2 linked regions of the Struthio camelus genome follow. The protein of the gene in region 1 purifies or fractionates together with the protein of each later gene. This does not show direct contact. Links are inferred from orthologs where the notes say so. Each region holds a gene or a part of one and is shown in the gene's direction. Other genes may lie near its edges.

The links. Proteins that work in one complex are often made in the same cells at the same time.
Region 2: the proteins of CHERP (region 1) and RBM17 purify together in Homo sapiens (co-immunoprecipitation; 4 studies listed by BioGRID and IntAct, counting the BioPlex papers as one, with this or other methods). This does not show direct contact. The link is inferred for Struthio camelus from reciprocal best matches to the Homo sapiens genes CHERP and RBM17.

The regions. Positions count from the first base shown.
Region 1 is NC_090967.1:5,297,579-5,307,566, reverse strand, and holds the start of CHERP (calcium homeostasis endoplasmic reticulum protein), read left to right. Parts: upstream 1-6,179; 5' UTR 6,180-6,280; coding exon 6,281-6,305; intron 6,306-6,388; coding exon 6,389-6,562; intron 6,563-7,000; coding exon 7,001-7,182; intron 7,183-7,924; coding exon 7,925-8,062; intron 8,063-8,762; coding exon 8,763-8,914; intron 8,915-9,291; coding exon 9,292-9,403; intron 9,404-9,777; coding exon 9,778-9,867; intron 9,868-9,988. Other genes in the region: SLC35E1 (solute carrier family 35 member E1), read left to right, coding at 376-609. UniProt on the Homo sapiens protein: Involved in calcium homeostasis, growth and proliferation.
Region 2 is NC_090942.1:4,584,623-4,594,450, forward strand, and holds the start of RBM17 (splicing factor 45), read left to right. Parts: upstream 1-5,914; 5' UTR 5,915-6,046; intron 6,047-7,088; exon of another isoform or gene 7,089-7,227; intron 7,228-7,402; exon of another isoform or gene 7,403-7,539; intron 7,540-8,027; exon of another isoform or gene 8,028-8,198; intron 8,199-8,886; 5' UTR 8,887-8,904; coding exon 8,905-9,027; intron 9,028-9,828. UniProt on the Homo sapiens protein: Splice factor that binds to the single-stranded 3'AG at the exon/intron border and promotes its utilization in the second catalytic step. Involved in the regulation of alternative splicing and the utilization of cryptic splice sites.

The DNA.
Region 1 (9,988 bases):
GAATAAAAACGGAGAATGTGTGGCATAAAACTTCCTTGCAGAGGAGGGTATATGTATCACCTAAGCTAAGTACTTAGCTGAGTGCTCAGGTGCTCGGGCCAGGCCAGTTGTTAGATCTCTAGTGAACTTCCTTTTTGTTCTTAATGTTTCGTTGAGAAATTAAGACTGGGCAGTAAATGCTCAACTCTCTTGAGCAAAACAAGGACTTACTGATTTAGCATATCAGAGGATTTGATAGTGTTACTGTGAGTCACAAGTACTTTAAGATTTTGACAAGCGTAGATTGTGGTGTAATTGTAAAAGTGCGTGTTCTTTCTAGGTATATGAATATGCTAGCTGGTAATCCAAGAAAAACATTATTTCTCTCTTTCCCAGACAAAATATGATGCAAATCAAGAGGCAAAGAAGCAGCTACTTCCAGTTACAACTGGAGACCTCGTGAATTTGGACCGGCATCGAAACACCCCTGAGAAGTCTCAGAATGGACTTTCGGCATTTGCACAACATGGAGACTATCAGTATGGTCGAGCCAATATCTTAACAGACCACTTCCAGTATAATCGGCAAAACTATCCGACTACCTACAATTTAAATCGTTTTGATATATAGAATCCTGGCAAGCAGGTATAGACTGTGATATCAAAGTGTCCCCAGCATCATCAGAAACTTTTAGTACATCCGTGAATGTAAGCCATTTTATTGTACAGGTTTTGCAGAAGGGAAGATGCATGTGTAGTGAAAGTGGTACAGACCTCTGACTTCTGCTAAGCAGATCTTTACACGTGAAATAGTTAGATCTGACACTGGAACTAAATGCACAGTGTAGCTCTTTTACAGAGATTGTGGTGAAATGCAGATAGAAAACTTCAGTGTAAAATATCTGCTGTCACTGCTCCTTTTTTGGAGTCTGTCAATGGATTATTGTTTTGGCAGCTAAACCGTGGCCAGTACTTTGTTTCCATGCTAATAACATCACCTTTAATTTGTTCTCTAATGTGTATTTTAATGATATTTTGATGAAATTTTCAGAAAAAGTGAAATTATGTGCACTTCTGGTTATCAGGGGCTGTCAGTTCGAGGAGAAATGACTTCTGTTTATCAGTAGCGGACAGGCAGACTTGAATTCATCTTGAGCAAATATGAAACTTCGTGTGGGTATTAATTACCTCTGTGCCTATACCTTCAGTTTTTGATGACAAACCAGGAATGTTTCTGAAAGAGTAGACAGTAGAAAAATTGATCCCTTCAAGAATCTTTTTTCAGGCATAGAGAACCATTTTTTTCTAAAATCATTGTTTTTCCAGTTGCTGTAGGTAACAAAACAGAGCTTAAGTTCATCATTGTTTTCTAAACAATGTCGTCCTGTAACTTCAGACATTGCTCTTCCCTGGCAATACAGAAAACACCTTGACAAATAAAGTGTTTGGAACAATATGATTTTTTTTTTTTACTTGCTTTACACCTGTTCTTACAAAACTCTTGTGTTGGCTTAAAAATTCAAAGTTTTAAGGTGTTTTCTTCTCAGTTTTATGCACAAACTATGCTCCTTTATTTGACTGATATTTTATGAATGCATGGCTTTGAATAATCATCATTTTTAATTGTTTCTTAAGTCTATCTTTTCAGTCCCTGATTGTTTTTATAACTTTCTTAATCAGCACTGTTGGAGCTGCTGTGTGCATTTGGCCTGACTTCTACTTTCAGCTGAAGGAAGCTAAATTTTATATCCTTCTCTTTCTGCAACTCCCCTAGCTTGATAGTAAATTATTAAGAAAAAATATTTTGAATTAGCAGTAAATATATAATTTATGAGTAATAAGTACTGATTCAGTTAGCGTCAATGAAGGTACTTAATTCTAGACGAGTCAACTGTTGTGTGTCAGATACTGCATTTGTGCAGGAAAGGAATGAAACCAGTTGAACTTTGGTTTTGCTGAACCAGATTACTGCTCCTTAGCAAAGAAGATTTTAGGGTCCTTCTTTCCTTAACAGAAAAGCTGTTGTATAGCAAGATTTTGATAGCATAGGTATTAAGTTTTTACTAGAAAGGTATTAGATACTGGTAACAAAATTTAGGGTATGGTGCTGTACAAAACACTCCCTCTACTTATTTAATGCTTTAAACATGACTGTTTCTTTGAAGTGAAATGATGATTTGACTCCTTTCTGGATACTAAAGAATTTATTTTTAAGTACAAAGTCAACCTGATCTCATTCTTTTGGTTGTCTATGGAGGTAGTTCTGTAGACTGCCTTCCGTGGTACAGTCCAAAAGAGGAAACAGTCCTTCTGAAACTTTAGAGATGGGTTAAATAAGCTGCTAATGTTTGTGAGCAGAACTTCCGTGGCTTCCCTGGTGTTGAATCTGTTCATGCTGGCATAGAACTTGGGCTTTTAGCTTAGAAAATCTGAATAAATTATTCCCCAACCTGATTAACAAGAAAAAAGATTGTGAGGAAAAGCATTTGTTCATATGGAATTGCTTTTGCCTATTCCAGTATTAATTTTATATATATATATATATATATATATATATTTTTTTTTTTTTTTTTTTACTGTGGGAAGGTGCAAAATTTGTATTTCTAAGGCTTGCTTCCCAATACTTAAGTGCTGTTGCATAAATGTAAAAAGGATCTTGTGGACTCGGGATTTGGACTAGATTCTGGCTCTGCAAAAGACTTTTGACTTTAGGCTGAGACATTTAGGCTGATTTTTTTTTAAGAGGGGCTGAAGTAAGGTGTCCAACTGCTTTCAAAGGGAGCTAGGTGTAACCTGTTAGACTCCTGCAAATGCTTGATCTTGTTGTTTGTGCCTCAGTTTCCTGTTTGGGAAATGGGGGTGGGAGGGTGATTCTTCCCTACCTCAAAGTGGGTGAAATACCAGTAAACAGTAGCAGTGGGGGCCATAGGGATTTGCAGAAGTACTATGACTTAATCTGAACTTTTTCTGGTATGTTTACCACTGTAACAGCTGTGTACAACTTGAGCTTTTCCTTAGAAGGTGAATAAAGCTCCACGCACCTTATTCACAGAGCAGAGGCTTGGTTAAATATATATAGATGGCTAATTTTCCAAGGGACGGAGCCTGATCTTGTTGTGACTCCTTTCTGAGAAAGCTGGCACTGCACGCTTAACCGTGGCAGGTCTTTGACTCCGCTTCTTCTGTCAAGAGTACAGCAGCAGGTGAGGGCTTTCTGTTGAAAATGCCTTGCTCCGGTGCAGTTTGGGCTCGTAGCCTCACCGTATCTCCGAAACAAAAGCTGTTGTCCTTAGCGCAGAGCAGAAGGGGACTGACTCAAAATAGGATCTCCCATTTAGGACCCAGAGAGTGAGGCCTGGGCTTCTTCCCCAGAGACTGCCTGACCACATTCGTGCTCTTCTAGTTCAGGTCTGTGGTCAATGGGGATAACTTTGTACAATAGAATACATAATTAAAACAGTTAAGCGAATCAGTTACAATGGGTGGTTTTGCTGAATACCTGAATCTAAGTCCTTAAGCAATATTGCCCACATTCAGGTAAAGGAAGTTTCTGATATTCTTGTAATATATATTTTGATCTTGGACACCTGCAAGATCTTGTTTGGCAAAGTGAAACATTTGTTTTAACATGGTTTGTAAATTAATGACGTATTTAACTATGTACATAGGTCTGTAGAAAGTATGGAAACACTGGAATAAAAAGGGCATATCTAGACAATCGTGTATAATGACCCTGTTATTAAATCAAAGTGAAGGGGTTTGGTTTTTTGTTTTTTTTTTTTTTACTTGCAGGACATTTCGGGAGTGCCATACATTAGTGGTAATGGCCACTTGGGAGAAATCAGATTATTGTTTTGCTGTATGGGTGTGATACATTACCCGATGTTTACTTAAGACTAGAACTAGTGTGATTTGGATGCCATAATTAGTGTTAGGACACTATCACTGGTATCCTTAGAAATGTTTTGATTTCCATTGTGCATTTATAATGTACATGTAAATACATCACAAAACTGGACAATTCTTCCCAAAACAGTCCTGGGTGGTTCTAGAGATACCAGTGTGAAAGAAACCAGTTTCTCCCCACTACGTGTGGGTTTTTTGTCCATAGCTCTTAAGAGTATTTGGTGCTCTTTGAAGATCTCTTGAAAATAGTTCCCCTTCAGACTCAATTGTAGTACCCAATAGTGATTAGAGCCTCTTTTTAATTTGGTAAAAAGCTCATTTTTCTGAAATACCTAAATACTAAATAAAATGGAGGCAATACTTAGGAGTGCGGTGATTTGTAAAGCTGGTGTTGGTGATTTTGGGTCAGCTCATGCTGATACCTGAAACTCAAGACCTTTTCTTTCTAATGTGTTCTAAGCCACATTTTTTCTGATGTAGCATTTTGCAGCAGAAAGAATTTCTGCTGTGTAGCTATCTGTGAAAAAGGTGCAATATAAATAAAGGGAGAGCTTTGTTTTTCTAAGGCTTCCATTTCTGAAACATGTTGTAAAGTGTTAAAAATAATTCTGAAATAACTTTGTGGTGATGGTACGAGCTGGTAAAAGAAATCTGTAAATCCTGAGATCACAGATGTTTTATGTAGGTACTCAAATGTAAAGATGCAGGTGGCAGTCCCCACCTATCCTTTTTTGTTTTGTTTCTATTGGTACTTTATTGGTTGATGTGAATATGGCTGATTTTACCAAAAAACAAAACAAACAAACCCTCCCCCCCCCCCCCTTACTGTAGGAAATCTGGCACTTAAGCAAATGCACGCTCTTGTATGGTTTTCCTGTTCTTATTTCAATTGTGTTCTGTAAAGTTCAGGAGGTTTCCTAGTCTGATTGCCTATGCTGCACCTCTCCAGCCTGTCGATGTTACTCCTGAAGCTGGTGTTCCTGTAAGGGATGACGGGAAGAAATTGCATTGGTGACTTTTGGATAAACTGGGACTCTTTCCTGGCTAAAGTAAAACAGTGTTCAGATGGTTTTGGCAGACTCCTCTGTCTGGTCACTACAGGTTTTGGGGCAGTTTGTGGATAAACTGTTGCTGCGTGCTGAGGAATGTGGAAGTCTGAAGGATGGCTGCACGGGCTCCAACACGCAAAGCACAAATGTTTTTGCTGGGGTAGAGGGCAGCATTACAAATTTTGAAAAAGTTTCTTAGCTTATACTTAAAAGTAAGATTTAACCTGGTCTTCTGGGGTCTGTGTTATTTTCCAGGACTGCAAAGTGATGTAGGATCATACCCAGATTCTGTCTGTCTTTTTTTTTTTTTCCCCACTTGTGTCTGGATACATGCAAACATCCGTTTTCTGAGTTTTTATACTCTGTAGATAATATAGTGGGGTCTTCATGGTATGTCTTGTTGAGAATAAACAGTTCTGCCTTTTTGTGAGGATGTCTTTGGGTGTTATCTGCGTGCCTGGAAATTCTGTGAAGCGTAATTTAACGCTGAAGGCTTCAGAGAGTGATTACAGCTCCAGCTGAGCACTGGATAAAAGTGTTAGGACGCTCAGCTTTGCTTTTGGCCTCTTGTGATTCCCAGAGCATCACCTCCATTTTGAAGTTCAATTTTCCTAATGTATTAAATAACACTCAAATGATTTGGGCCCCGCGTTGCGTTTTTGGTCTCGAGTTGCCATCAAATTGGTCCTTGAGCGTTACTGTTCCCCCCCCACCACCCCCCAAAGTTGCGTAATAAAGTAGAGAGAGCTGAGCGATTCCCTCCTCGCCTCCTACCTCTGGAGCGGGGCGCGAGGCCGAACGAGCGAGCGGGCCCTCTCCGAAGGGACGCTCCCCAGAAGCCGGCCTGCAGGCGAACGTGATGTGCGCTCAGCCCCGCTGCAAGGCTTCCCCCTCGCAGGTTAGAAACGCGGCTGCGGAAGGAAAGCTGAGGTGAGGCCCAGCAGAGCTCGGAACGGTCCTGATTTGACTGCGGAAAGAAATGACGGTGTTAGGTCACTTCGGGGGGGGCGCACCGGGGCCTGCCCCGCAGGCCTCACCGGGCCGGGGCCCTCGGGGTCTGTCCCCCCCCCCCCACCCCGGCCCTGGGGGGGGGGTTGGCGCAGGGGCTCGGCCCGGTGCCCCCAGGAAGGGGAAGGGGGGGGGCAGCGCCGGTGCGGGCCGGGCCGCGCTTGACCCCGCGCAGCGCTCCCCCCCCCGCCACCTCCCGCCGTCTCCATAGCGACGGGGCCGTAAAGCGCGGCCGCGCCCGGCGTCTCGCGGCACTTCCGGCCGGTGGGGCCTAGCGCCGCGGTGGTGGCGGCGGCGGCGGCGGCGGAGCCGCTGCGCCCTCGTCGTTGTCCCGCCGCCATGGAGATGCCGCTGCCGCCCGACGGTGAGCGCGGCCGCGGGGCGGGGAGGGGGGAGCGGGGCGGGCAGCCGGGGCCGGCTCGGGCTGACGGCGCTGCCTCCCCGCAGACCAGGAGCTGCGGAATGTCATCGACAAGCTGGCGCAGTTCGTGGCGCGGAACGGGCCCGAGTTCGAGAAGATGACGATGGAGAAGCAGAAGGAGAACCCCAAGTTCTCCTTCCTCTTCGGCGGCGACTTCTACGGCTACTACAAGTACAAGCTGGCGCTGGAGCAGCAGCAGCGTGAGTGCGGCCCGCGGGCGGGCAAGGCCGCGGCCGGCTGCGGCCTCTCTCCCCCCTCCTCCGGCTGCCGGAGCCCCCTTTCCCCGTCCCGGCCCCGCTCGCAGCCTCTTCCTGCCCTCTCGCCTCCAGGTTGAGCCCCACCTGGGGCTCTTCACGCCCCCCCCGTTTGCGGGTTTCGGGGGAGGAAGGCCGGGCTGCTCCGCAGTCGCGCCCCAGGAGCGGGCCTGGCGTTGGCATCGTCCTTCCCCGACACGTGCAGGGAGCCGCTGACTTTCCTCCTTCCCTCCACACCATCCGCCCTCGCCCGCTTGATTTTTATTTGTGTGTGTTAAACAGAAATTGCGGCTCTGTTCTGGAAGCAGCGCTGTTTTCACGTACAGGCCGGTGGTGGCAGATTTCGCTTTGTTGCTTACTTTGAGAGCTTTCTTTCTCTGACAGTGTTGTGCAAGCAGAGTCAAGATATTGAGGCTACTGCGCAGATCCAACCGCTGCCCCAGCCGTCTCTCCCACCGGCTGCGCCTATGCCAGCCCCTCAGGGAACTCCTTCAGTGGAGGAACTTATCCAGCAGAGTCAGTGGAACCTCCAGCAGCAGGAGCAGCATCTCCTCGCTATGAGACAGGTCGGTTTAGGATGAACAGTCACTTGGATTATTGTAGGCTACCAGTGGCTGTGAAGGGGGTAGGAAGGCTTCCTTCTGACTAAAGGTGGTGACGTTGTATGTTGGTGAGAAGAAGGAGGGAGCGTTGCTTTGCTTGTCCTTGTTCTGTGACAATTGCTGTAATCTCCTTAGAACAGATGCATCTGATGTGTTTGTAAGTTTGATCCTTGTTAAAACAGTTTATTAACTGCATGAAAACCCTACCTGGCTTGCACAGAGTGCAATAAATTGTGACTGCTCTAATCTTTATTTGATGTTACAACTTGCTAGGAATTGTGAGACGTTCCAGCTTGTAGCGCTCTAAGGTGAATTCTTTTGGGAGTGGGATGGCACTGTGTACTTGAATTGGCTCTTTTACAGAATGCGTTTTGCTTTTAGAGCTTCCGAATTGAAGAGTTCCTGGAGAAAGGGGAGTACGTGTGGCATGTGCTATGCGCTTAGCAGCTGTCTGCAGTTATCACTTGCTTCATGATGGAGGGATTTAGGAGGTGGAAATGAACAGTATTTCTCCTGAAGAGTGAGAAGAGTCTTTCTCTTCTCCCTTCTCAAAAATAACTAATTGAAACAAATTTATACATGGTCACATTGCGTGTAAGGAGTCTTGGTCTTCAAGATAACTGCTTATGGTTAAGAGCACAGGCACACATCAGGTTGGTGGTTCTTCAGAAGAATATTGAATGTGATGTAATTCCCTCTTTTTCAGGAACAAGTTACATCAGCAGTAGCCCTTGCAATTGAGCAACAAATGCAGAAAGTTTTAGAGGAAACACAGTTAGATATGAATGAATTTGACAACTTGTTGCAGCCAATAATTGACACGTGTACAAAAGATGCAATCTCAGTAAGTAAACATCCTTGCGTATCTTAGAAGTTCTGCTCCTGTCTTTGCAAGTGAAACACTTCTTTGACTTGCTGTAAACGCAACACCAAGAAGGACGTATAGGCCTTACCTGTACAAAAGGCAACGGGAAGGCTTTCATTCCAGTCACAATTGTTTTTTCTTCCATTGGCTGTTGATGACTCCACGCATTGACTACTTTGCTTGTGTTCAGCTGCTCAGGCCATGAAGTCAGTTCCGTATATTGGAGAAGAGGTTCTTCCCAGGAAACTGAGGGAGTAGAGGGGGTCAGCTTTCCCTAACGAAAAAGAAGAGATCGGTCCCTAACTTGAAATGTGTTGGGGTAGCGATTTTAATGCTGCCTTGGGGTTTAGGATAACGTCGTTTAAAGCATCTACTGATTATAAAGAAATAGGACAGAAATTACCCCCCAGATAGGCAAGGTAAATTAAGCCTGATCGTGGAGCGAGTGAGTTAAATGATCTAAATCTGAACTGTTACTTAATGGTGGTGTAGATTAAGTACAACTTGCATTTTGAAACTGCATGGTTAAAAATAGCAACTTTATTGTTTCACTGTATGGTACGTGAGATGACAGCTGTTATTGAAAATTTTCCTTCTTGGAGTTATTTCAGTTTTAGGAAGTCCATATGATGTGAACGCATCAGACTAACTTAAAATATTCTAAAATTCATTTTCTAAGGCTGGCAAAAACTGGATGTTTAGTAATGCGAAGTCTCCTGCACACTGTGAGCTGATGGCTGGGCACCTGCGAAATCGTATAACAGCAGAAGGAGCTCACTTTGAGCTTCGGTTACATTTAATCTACTTAATCAATGATGTATTGCATCACTGGTAAGAACTAAAACGATGTTTTCCAGTTTGCTGTTTGGATTAACTTGGTGAAGTCTCTCTCTGCTAGACACATTCTTAGTTCAACTAGTCACTTTTTATTTTGTTAAAATACACATGTTCGTTAGCAGCTGCCTTAAGGTGTGTGCAATTGGTGCAAAGAAATAGCCAGTACTTTAATAATCATATTCAGCCTTTATCTACTTTGTGTATACTTATTCCAGATAAGGCTGTACAGTACAAATGTAGAGAAGAGAATTCTCTCTGTATCTGTATGAATCCTCTACTTTTAGTACAGCACAAGTTAGGAGGAATTGAATGTTACAGTGCTGTTAATGTTATATTAAAAGGCAGTAACTCTTATCCTTCCTTTTTTGAAGCCAGCGGAAGCAAGCACGAGATCTTCTGGCTGCTTTACAGAAGGTGGTTGTGCCTATATATTGTACCAGCTTTCTAGCAGTGGAGGAGGATAAACAGCAGAAAATTGCCAGAGTGAGTAGCTGGTTTTGGTTTAGCTGTATGTTTTGCTTTCTTAGGTTAGTGCTAGGCAAATTCACAAATCCAAGGACAGAAGAGGACTGCTGAGATTTTTCTAGTATGCTCTTCTTCATAAAGCCTGTCAAAGGATGTACTTTAATTTATGTTTGAGCTAGAACTTTAAACCAAAAAAAAGTACTTGAGCTTTATTTAAAAGTTATCATCATGATGAATAGTTCTGAGTCTTTGGTGATTCCAAAGACAAGTGACTAAATCCTAGGCCTTTTGACAAAGCTAGAGGCATAAAAATGCTGTGCCTTGATTTTTTTTCTTTTCTTTCTTTTATCGTTCATCATTTCTAACAACCTTTTGCTCTTGCATTTATGCAGCTTCTTCAGCTGTGGGAAAAAAATGGGTACTTTGATGAATCAATAATTCAGCAGCTACAGAGCCCAGCTCTTGGACTTGGCCAGTACCAGGTTAGCCACAAAAGAAAAGTAATGCTTTCCTTATTCATATAAATATTTGAGAACAAATTTTTTCTTTTTTGAAGTGTAAATGTTATTTTTTTTCCCCTGTTGAAATCCTTTGCAAAGGTTT
Region 2 (9,828 bases), on another chromosome or scaffold:
TGTAGCCAGAAGAACGGTAACCTTGCCTACCTGTACATCCTCAGCACGGATGCATTTCCATAACAACCCATGGTTCTTAGAATTTATTCTCAAATCCAGAATTATACTTGAGTTCAAAGAGAAGTAAATGTACCTATAAATTTAGAGGGAACTTTCATTCAGACTTTGCAACTGAGGTTGAAAATAGCTGTTTGAAACTCCTTCCGTTTTTCGAGTACTCAACTTGAGATACCTTAATTTGCAGAGAATAGATGCCCAGAATCTTTCAAATGGTCTCAACGTGAGCACTCAAAACCATAGGTTATGCATTAGTGCCATCATTAAATCTGCAGTAGATTCAGGTAATATTTTAGGACGGAAAGCTGAAAGAGCTAAATGGTTCTAAACAGGAACCAGCACTTCCACGGCAAGCGGATCAGCCAATTTAACCACCAGGGCCTTTCCTGGCATAAAATCTTCAAACTTGGAGTCATATAAACCTAATAGTGAAGGAGTACTTTCCATTATTTCATCTTTAAAAAAGAGTGGAAGCTCTTTAGATTTCTGAAAAAGCAATAGTTCAGCCAAAGTTTTGACTCTGAGAGAAGAGAACACTAAAAGAAAGAAGGTAACACTAGAGAGAAAAACCTTTCACTGCAAGCAGGCACAGAAATGGTTGGGATGGAACGCAAGTTAGCCTGTAATGTTAATTTTTTTTTCATCGTCTTCCAAATGCTCCAGCATTGTCTACCTTAGCTTCCAAAATCTTTCCCAAGGCTTTTCATTTTAAAATCGATGATCAATGCAATGGAGCTTTAACTCTTTTTTTTTTTTCTCGTTCTTCATTTTCATAAAAGCAAACACAAAACTCCTGGAATCCCTCCAATTTGATCAGTGCACCAGACAGTGGGATTTGAAGCTTGTAAGAAACCTGCATCTTTGGCACAAAATTCTCTTTATGGCTAACACAGGGGGAATCTGAATAACTTTCTACACAAAACCTTTCTCTGGCTGAGCAGCAGAACCATTTTTTTCCTGCAGTTACGGCAGACGTCCCATCTGTACTGAGTCTAGTCAAGCGTCACATTTTCTCTTAGATTTTCAACATGTTTTCTCAGTTCTTCAAACAAGCTTGAGACACTGATGGTAGAACAAAATGGTCACTTCCTCATTTATATTATTTTTCCCTGTCATTGCCCAAATCAAAATACTCCACTGTGCAGTGTCAGTAGCAATAAAGCTTTCATTACTTGTGACTAAAAAGTATTTAAATATGGGTCTCGGAAACTTTAATCTGTGCCAAAATATTACTGGATGTTGTCTCAGTCATTCTCATTGTGGAACTGAGCCAAAATGTGAAACTAGGTAAAAAATGTGAAGTAGGTAAAAACTAGGTAAAAAAGCCACGCTCCTCTGGGTTTTTGGGTCACTCTATATATGGCAAAAATAGACGGCTTTCTTCATTGCGTTTGCAGCTGTTCTCTCTGCAGAAGTAAGGATATTCCAAATGCCTTTCTAACTGTTTTCAGCTCTTTATGATGGTTATTCATTGGTGAGTTTTACAAAAGAAGAATTACAGCACAGTTCCTTTCTGATTTATTTTAGAGTTATCAGAGTATTTTAGAGATCATGAAGCAGATCTGAAGGCATACTGGGTTAGGGTGGTACCTTTCAGCAAAACCATGGCATCACACATTGTGTTTGGTTTAGGATCCAACATGTTGGTTTAGGATCCAACAAACTCGAGCCGATCTTCCCAAGCCAGGATGAATGAATGAGCTTTCCCTCTGGCAGCGTCATTTTCATATTTCATTTTGCCACGCGGGCCATACTGAAGGTCACTGTGAAGCTGGCAGTGATAATCAAGTGGGTATTTTCTGAAAAAGAAAAAAAGTTCATAAAGTTTTGAAGGTGCTGCCAGGACCATTAACAAAAAGCAGGTGTGCAGTGGGGTGGGTCTGCTCTCTGCTTAGGACCCGCACCGTTAGCTGGAAATCATCCCTCCATCCCACGTGATTTAAGCATCTTTATTCTAACCTGACTGACGTTCCTCTGACCAAGCTCAGCTTTCTTTCGCGTGTGCCCCGCTGCGATTCGCATCTCGCCCCCACCTCTGTGGGTGGGAACCACTCTGCTCTTCTGTTCCCCGGGGGCCTTGTGGATGGTTTTGGGGGGTTTACTGCAGCCATCCCTTGCCACCTCAAAGGTCTCCCCGTAGACTGAGATGCACTGCCCTCTAATGCCATTTTGGCATATTAGCAACCCGGCTTTAAGCATGCAAGCCTCATCCTCAGAAGGTCTATCTGTAAAATACAGTGCAAATAATCTAAGTCTGGTAAAAATGGCTTAAGCTTAAGGGAATTTGTAAGAAACATGGAATTTATGGACTGCTTTTTTTTTTTTCTCTAGTAACTCTGCCCTGCTTCCAGCAATCAGTGGGTTAGTGGGATTTTTGAGACACAGACTGTACTTTGACCACTGTGTTTACCAGCCCGAATGGCCCTGTTCCTTAGGACCGTCTCCTATCTTTTTTTGGATCCCTTTATCCTCCAGAGTGCCCCCTGGCACCGAGATCCACAGTTTACACCTCTGTTTGTTTTGTACCTTCTTGGAGATCACGTCTAGGGAGAAAAATGAGAACTCCCTTTTTACCGTTTCTGTACCACTTGTGATGTTGGATGCTCCCATAGCACCTTTCAGCTGTCTCTTTTCAGCTGATACATCTTAATTCCTTCAGTTTAGAATGACATCTCTGTCGTCCTTCATTGTACATTTTTGCATTGCATTGCATCTACTTGGAAGTGATGAGGTACCCAGGAGGCACCTTTGCATGTGCATTGTGGATTTATATCAAGTATGTTTTCTGTTTTTCTCTCTCTCTCTCTCTCTCTCTCTCTCTCTTCTTTTAATACTTCTTAGCAGCCTGTTTGCTTTCTTGCCTCCTTCAGAGCACTGAGTTGGCCTTTCTAGAAAACCATCCACAGTGAATCCAGCATCTCTTCCCTTAATGGTAACAGCTGATTGAGAGCCTGCTGCTGTGTGTGTATTGCTAGTGTTATTTTCTCTTGCGTGCACTGCTTTGCATTCATTAACATTGGGTCCCATCTGCCATCTCATCACCCAGCCAGCATTATGCCATCCTTCTGCAACTTCTTGCATTCAGCTTTTGGCTGATTACTCCGAATAATTTTGAATCCACGGCAAATATAACCACCTTTGCTGAGACCTTTTCCAGGCTGCTTATCATTATGCTGCGGGGGCCTAACCCAGGCCCCTGGCACTCTGCCACTCACTGCCCACAACGGGGAAAACACAGAATTTGTTCGTAGCCTTTTGGTCCTGTCTGCAATCTGCTGCAATCTGCTGTCCATAACCCTTCCATACCCTTTTCTTTCCTCTGCCAGGAGTTCAGCATCCTGGACCCAGCTCTGGTATGGCCCAACCGCATGACCTCGTTTCAGACTGCTGAGAAAATTGCCATATTGTGAGAAAGAGCTGTGTGAAAAGGCGTAGAGTGGAACCAGGCGAGATAAGAAGGGCAGGTGGGACTGCTGAGGTGGAGATCATTAGCGGGATTCAAGAGAAAAAACATGAACATGGAAAGGTTTAAAATCCTGAAGGAAAAAACAGGTAGCTGGAAGGGGGCAACTCAGCCCTGTCGAGGGTCTGTTGGAGGCAGCAGAGGGCTGATGCTGCCCCAGCTGGCTCTGACTCGCCAGCAAAGGCTCTTCAGGTATCTCACTGAAGCCATGAACACGCTAATGCTTGGCCCACTACCTCATTAAATCCTGTCCATCTATTGTGTGTGTCAATCAGCAAAGATGTGCATTGTACTCTTTCAGCTGTGTATGTCTGGCTTGCATAGCCCGTTCATGCACGGTGAAAGTTGCCCAAGATGACCCAGCGATGGTTCCCCTGTAGCAGGCACTTCAAATAATTTCACAACAGTGGGGATGGCACAAACCAGGTCACATCTGCTCCTCAGGCACCACCGGGAGCAGCCCTGAATCCTTGATACTCTTCCCAGCCTTCACCCCCAGAGACCTTTCCACAGGCTGTGGGGTATGGATCCCCTCTTCATCAGAAAGGACCTCATGGGCTTGCCATTCTCTGGGCTTTGGGACACTTACAACTAGAGGGAGAGCCCATCTGGAGCTCTTCTCCACGCCACCCTCCTGGCACATAGTCTGCCAAGGAAATACTCTGCCATGGAGTTAATTTAGCCTAAACAGCTTATAGAAAGTTGCAGGGTTTGACCTCAGGGTGCAGATGTCTCAGAAAAGTGGCCGGGAGCTGCAGCACAGTGTCCCCACTGGCATACATCAGGATGTCCTTCACCCTCTCTGCCTTTGCAGATAAAGCTGAAAAAGAGGCGTCTGTCCAAGCTATCATCCACCTCCCCAATATGAAGGACTGGGGATGACCCTGGCAAGGGTGTCCTCCATTCCCAGACTGTCCAGGGACTTCAGACTTTGCAGCGTGGTGCGACTTCTCCACCTGCTCGCAGCTGGTTCATACTTTCTCCGGAGGACGCGTGTGGCCCAGCAGCAATCCTCAGCAGAGAGACGCAGCCTTTCGTGCAAGATGTAGGCACGGCACGATGGCGCGCGACATCAAATGTGCTGTCTGCAGGGGCTCAGTTTGTGCAAGGGCCCTTCTTTTGGATGGTTTCGCCAACGCAGACTTGAGATCACGCCTTCGAACGGTCTCCATGCCGTCAGCCAGAATTCTGCCAAAATTAATGCAATGGATGTTGTTGGCCTCTTTGCTCTTTTAAGTGTCTTATAGCAGTCTATGGTGGTTATTGCCACAGATGATGACAGACACATTTTGAACCACGCCTAATGCACTTTCCAGGACTTAATCAAGAGCTGCTTCCCCACTCGCGAATTATCTGACTAATTGCTTTAATAGGTAGCTATTTACGGGTCTAATAATTTAGCCTTTGCCCTTCCTGTTGTGCATTTTCCCAGTCTTCCCAGGAGTAACTGAAATCTCTGATGATTATCATGTTTTCTGCCTTTGCAGACTCTGATCTCTTGAGTTTTTCCCAGTGACTATCATGCTGTGATACTGCTCTGTGCTGTTAGGTGCTGAATTTCAAACCACAGTGATTTTTGCAGTACATTTTAATGCAATTAACTATTTGATTCCTTTCTTTAACACCAGTCCTTGCTCAATGTGATTCTGTCACTATGAAATTGGTATTCAAGTATCCTGCTGATTTTCTTTCTTGCACAAAGTTAGAGAAATGTGTATCATATCAATCTCTTCCTTTAAAAATGCAGGCATTTCTAGAGCAAGGAACAAAAGCCTGCTTGGATGATCCTCCCTGAATAAAGCGAAGAAAAATTCTTCTTACATTTAAGAAGTTTTCACTATTATTATTAAAATAGATTCATCTGGAAACACACTGCCTACAAAGATCCCCTTAGCAGACACCAGCTTAAGTAGGATGGGAAGAGCCGAGAACAGGCCAGAACTTAAAATAAACTACCACTTTTTTAAGTAGTAGCTTTGCTCACTGGTACCTCTTTTTTTTTTTTTTTTTAATTTTAAGCATGGGGAATTAATTGCATAGTAGCAAAGTCAAAAGTAATGCTGGAGATAAGGACTTTTTGATCAACAAAGAGATAAGGCTGTAGTTTTGAGGTTGAAGTGACAACGCTATCTGCTTTGGGGTTGGAGGTTTTGCTGTGTTTTGCAGAGAGGGTTGAATGTTTATTTCCACAGCGTTTATCACGTGGTGCAAGTGGCCATAATTCTTAGAAATCTCAACGCGTCTGAATTCACTCTCTGCCGGCTTTAAGTCAGGGACACAGCTGCCCATTAACAACAAAAACGAGATCTTGCCACTGTCACAGAGAGCAATAATTACCGAATTACCTCGAAATGAGCTCTCTGGAGAGGCGGAGAAATCACCGTAGCTGAATAAACTCCCGGCGAGGACAGATAACGCCATTTCAGGGACTGTTTTGGAAAGCAGAAATGATTTCTGCAGCGAGACGATCAGCGGAATCAACCGATCCAGCCCACTTCAGGCCCAAACGATGCTCTCATACTACAGGTACTTTCAACGGCCAAATACCCTGCAGTAACACCACCACCCAGCCACCTCGGCGTTAGCGGGAGCCGCGGCAGAGCCAGGCGCTAACCAGCGTGCCTGAGCGATACATGATTCGGGGGCGTCTGAAATACGCTTGAAGCAAAACGAGCGTCAGCTTTCTCTCCTCCTAGCTGCTTCACAACTGTGCCGTCAAACTCGGAAGAGTCTCATATTATTCTTTTTTTTGTTGTTTTTTTGTTTTGTTTTGTTTTGTTTTTGGTTTTGGCGGGAATGAAGATGAGGTCGAGGCGCCGAAGGCCCAAGGAGACACGCCGGCAGGCGCGTTACCTCGTCCGCCGGGCTGACGTAGACTTCTCAAGGCGCCAAAAACACAGTATAGCGAAACGCGGCATGAAGGCAAAACGCAGGGCGATGGCCGGGACGCCGATACCGTCCTGCCCCCTTGCTGATGGAACTGCTAAATCCGCCCCAAACCCCAACGTAGCCCCACCAGAAGGTTATCTCGCTTCTCCCCCCCCCCCCCCGCCGTATTTTTCGGGCAACTTCCTTGAGCGATCGCTCGTTTTTTCCCCAATGACGACGTGGCGAACGCAGGCCCAGCTCGGGATTTTAAGGTCTCTTTTAAGGTCCACTGGGATTTTAAGGTCTTTTTTTTGTTTGTTTTTAACGTGGGCTACACGGCCCACCCGCCAGCGCCCAAACCGCCCCCGCCAACACGAAGTTTAACGTCGTTTGTAGGTCTCTCTCTTATTTCCGTGCGCTTTATTTAAATAAGGGTGATCGCACAGGCTGTTGCAGAGCCGCCCGTCGCCTGCCACCTCCGCACGGGGCGTCACAGGACCCGAAAAATGAGGGGCGAGGGGGGGGAGGAAGTGGGAGGGGAGGGCCCCCCCCGCCCCTTCCCAGTGCCGAACTGGCGCGGACTGGGCCGCGCCCGGCCGCGGAGGGCGGCGGGGAAAGGGGCGGTGCCGCGCCGCGCCCGCCAGAGGGCGGTACAACGGCGGCGCCCGCGCCGCGCGCCCATTGGCCGAGCCGCGCGCTTGCGCCGTCGCGGCGGGGAGGCAGGCGCGGGCGGCGTGTGCGCAGGCGCGGAAGGGGGTGGGGGCGCTGGCTGGTGGAGGGCGGCCCTTCCCGGCTGCCTCAGCGGCCGGCTAATGGCGGCGGCGGCGGCGCGGTGACGGGTGAGCGGCGGGCGGGCGGCGGCGGCGGCGGCTCCCGCAGACCGGCGACTAAGCCGAGCCGAGCGGGCGGCTCTGCGCCTCAACGCGGCGGTGGTGGGCGGGGAACGGGGATGGGGCCGGGCCCCTAACGCCTCCGCCCCGCCCCGCAGCGCCCGGCCTCGGCCCGCGGCGGGGGCCGCCGCCGCCGCCTCCCGGCCCCGCCGCCCGCGGTGTCCCCCGAGGCGCGGAGCCGCTGCCCCTGGGGGCCGCGGCGGTTGGAGGGGCTAAAATCGCCTTTCGCTGCCCAAACTTCGTCTGCCGTGGCGCACGCGGGTTCGTGTGGTGCCCCCTCCCCGTCGCCTTCCCCTGTGCTTTGCGATATCCCTCCCTGTCCCCCCCCCCACGCCCATTTAGGTAATAATCCCCACCGAAACCCACCTCTCCCCCCCCATATTCATGCAGTAAACTAGCGTCGGTTGTTTATGTTCCTCTGCAGGCTGAAATCACCTATTCTTTATTATTTTTACTTATTTTACCTTAGAAGTAATATATAGGTGTTTATATTTGCTGTATTATTTCCTACAGCCCCATGTCTGGAGATCGTAATGCAGTTGCTGCCTGCTCCATCTGAGATTTGCTTAAATCCTTAAAACTCTACATAAGCAGACAGCTCCTCTGTGTCAGCAGGTGCCTTCAAATACAGGCACCCGTCAAATCTGTGGGAGCGCGGGCTCCGTAGCGAGTCTTGTATGTCTGTACAGTTTCACTGCAGACAGTTTATCGGTAGTCCTTGACTCCGTTACGGATGTTTTCTCCTGCAGGAAATTAAGAAGTTAAAGCGGTGGTCACAGATACTGTAATCCAGGCCTAACTGAGGCTAAATAATGTGCTTGCAGGTTATTCTACAGGCTGCTGCAGGTGATAGACCTCTCATTCGTGCACGCTTTTTCTCCTTACTTTCGTGTCAGATGATGTATCACGTGGACAGTGATGTATGTTATCTGTTATTGATGTTGTTACCTAGCCAATTTTATATGTGTGTGTTTACGTATTCCGTTTATTTGAGAGGGCTTTAAGTGTGTGAAAACATTTGCTTAATCATGCTCTGGCAGGCTGTGCTCCAGCAAGTGTAATTACTCTAAGAAAGATATTTCTTTTCAGCCCAATGATGTTGCAAAAAATCCTGAAGTTTAAGCAGCTGATTGGAATGTTGATATATTTGTGCAGACTTTAAGGTCAGGGAGACAAAACTTCTTACATGCTCTGATTTGGAGCTCTTGAGGTTTATGTCATACTTCAGAATTTCTTTGTGACCCTCGAAATATTTTTGTGGACCACAGTGTAACTTTTTAAAAGCTTGAAGTGATGATGTTACAACCACAGTTTTACAAACCTAATGTTACAAAAATAATTTTAGGAAGTTTCCAAAACCCATTGACACTTGAACAGTATTCATGGAAGCGTTTTATTACCTTTTAAATAATTGTTTATATACAGCCTCAGAGCAGTCATGCATATCTGCCGTTAACCAGAAAAATGTCACTGCTGGGATTTCTCTCCGACTTTAATAAATAAATAAATTAATTAATTAAAAATATGATGCACAAACATAACCGAGCTAGTAGCAAATAAGCACTGGACATATGACTTATTATAGGTTTTTTTTTTTTTGTCCTCTAGTTCTAAATTGAGGAGAAAATGTCACTTTACGATGACTTGGGAGTTGAGACCAGCGATTCCAAAACAGAAGGCTGGTCCAAAAATTTCAAACTACTGCAGTCTCAACTGCAGGTGAAGAAAGCAGCTCTTACACAAGCAAAGGTATGATCTTTAGTAATTTTACTTTCTGTTGTTGATAGTACTTCTGTGTTAGGAACACTGAGGAAAGTTTGTGACTTTGGAATGCAGATTTGGGATCCTTTTGTTATGATCTGTCTGTAAGTTTGTAGGGTGGAGCCTACGGAAAAGGCATTGGGCATGGGGACCAAGATTCAGAAATCTGTTATAGGAGGTCTTGTAAAGTTAAAAATCAAATGAAGACTTGACATGTGCCCTGTCGGCCTAAAACTTTTTTAATAATAGAGCTAAAAGCTGATCTTTGTATTTAACCTCAAAGATAATGAGATTAAGCATTTCCTTCTTTTTTTTTTTTTTTTTTAAAGTAGGTAACAGTCATGCTGCCCTTGATAGTTTGGCAGTATCAGCTGTTGGTCATTCCTGGCATTTTGCATCAGTTGTCACTTACATGTTTGCATCGTTTTATGCTTCCTATTTAAAAAGGCTTTAGGTGCTGAAGTGCACATCCTTGTATGTTAGAAATTTGCATGGAAAGTATTGCCAGTATACCTGAAAAGGAAAAGATGTGAAAGCTAATTGTTAGAGCCTAAACTGTGACAGTGCCATTTTCTCTTTGTTTTATTGCTACGGTATTTCACCCTGTTTCCTTAAGCGCTGTAGATGTTTTAAGTTCAAGCAGGACATGTGTTGTTTGCAGTCTGTGTGTTTTACAATGAGAATATTTGATTAAAAATAGAAGAATAACTGCAATTAATTATGTAGGATACTTTACCAGGCATAACATTTTATCACGGGAATTATTCCTGGTTTATACTGCTGAAATTG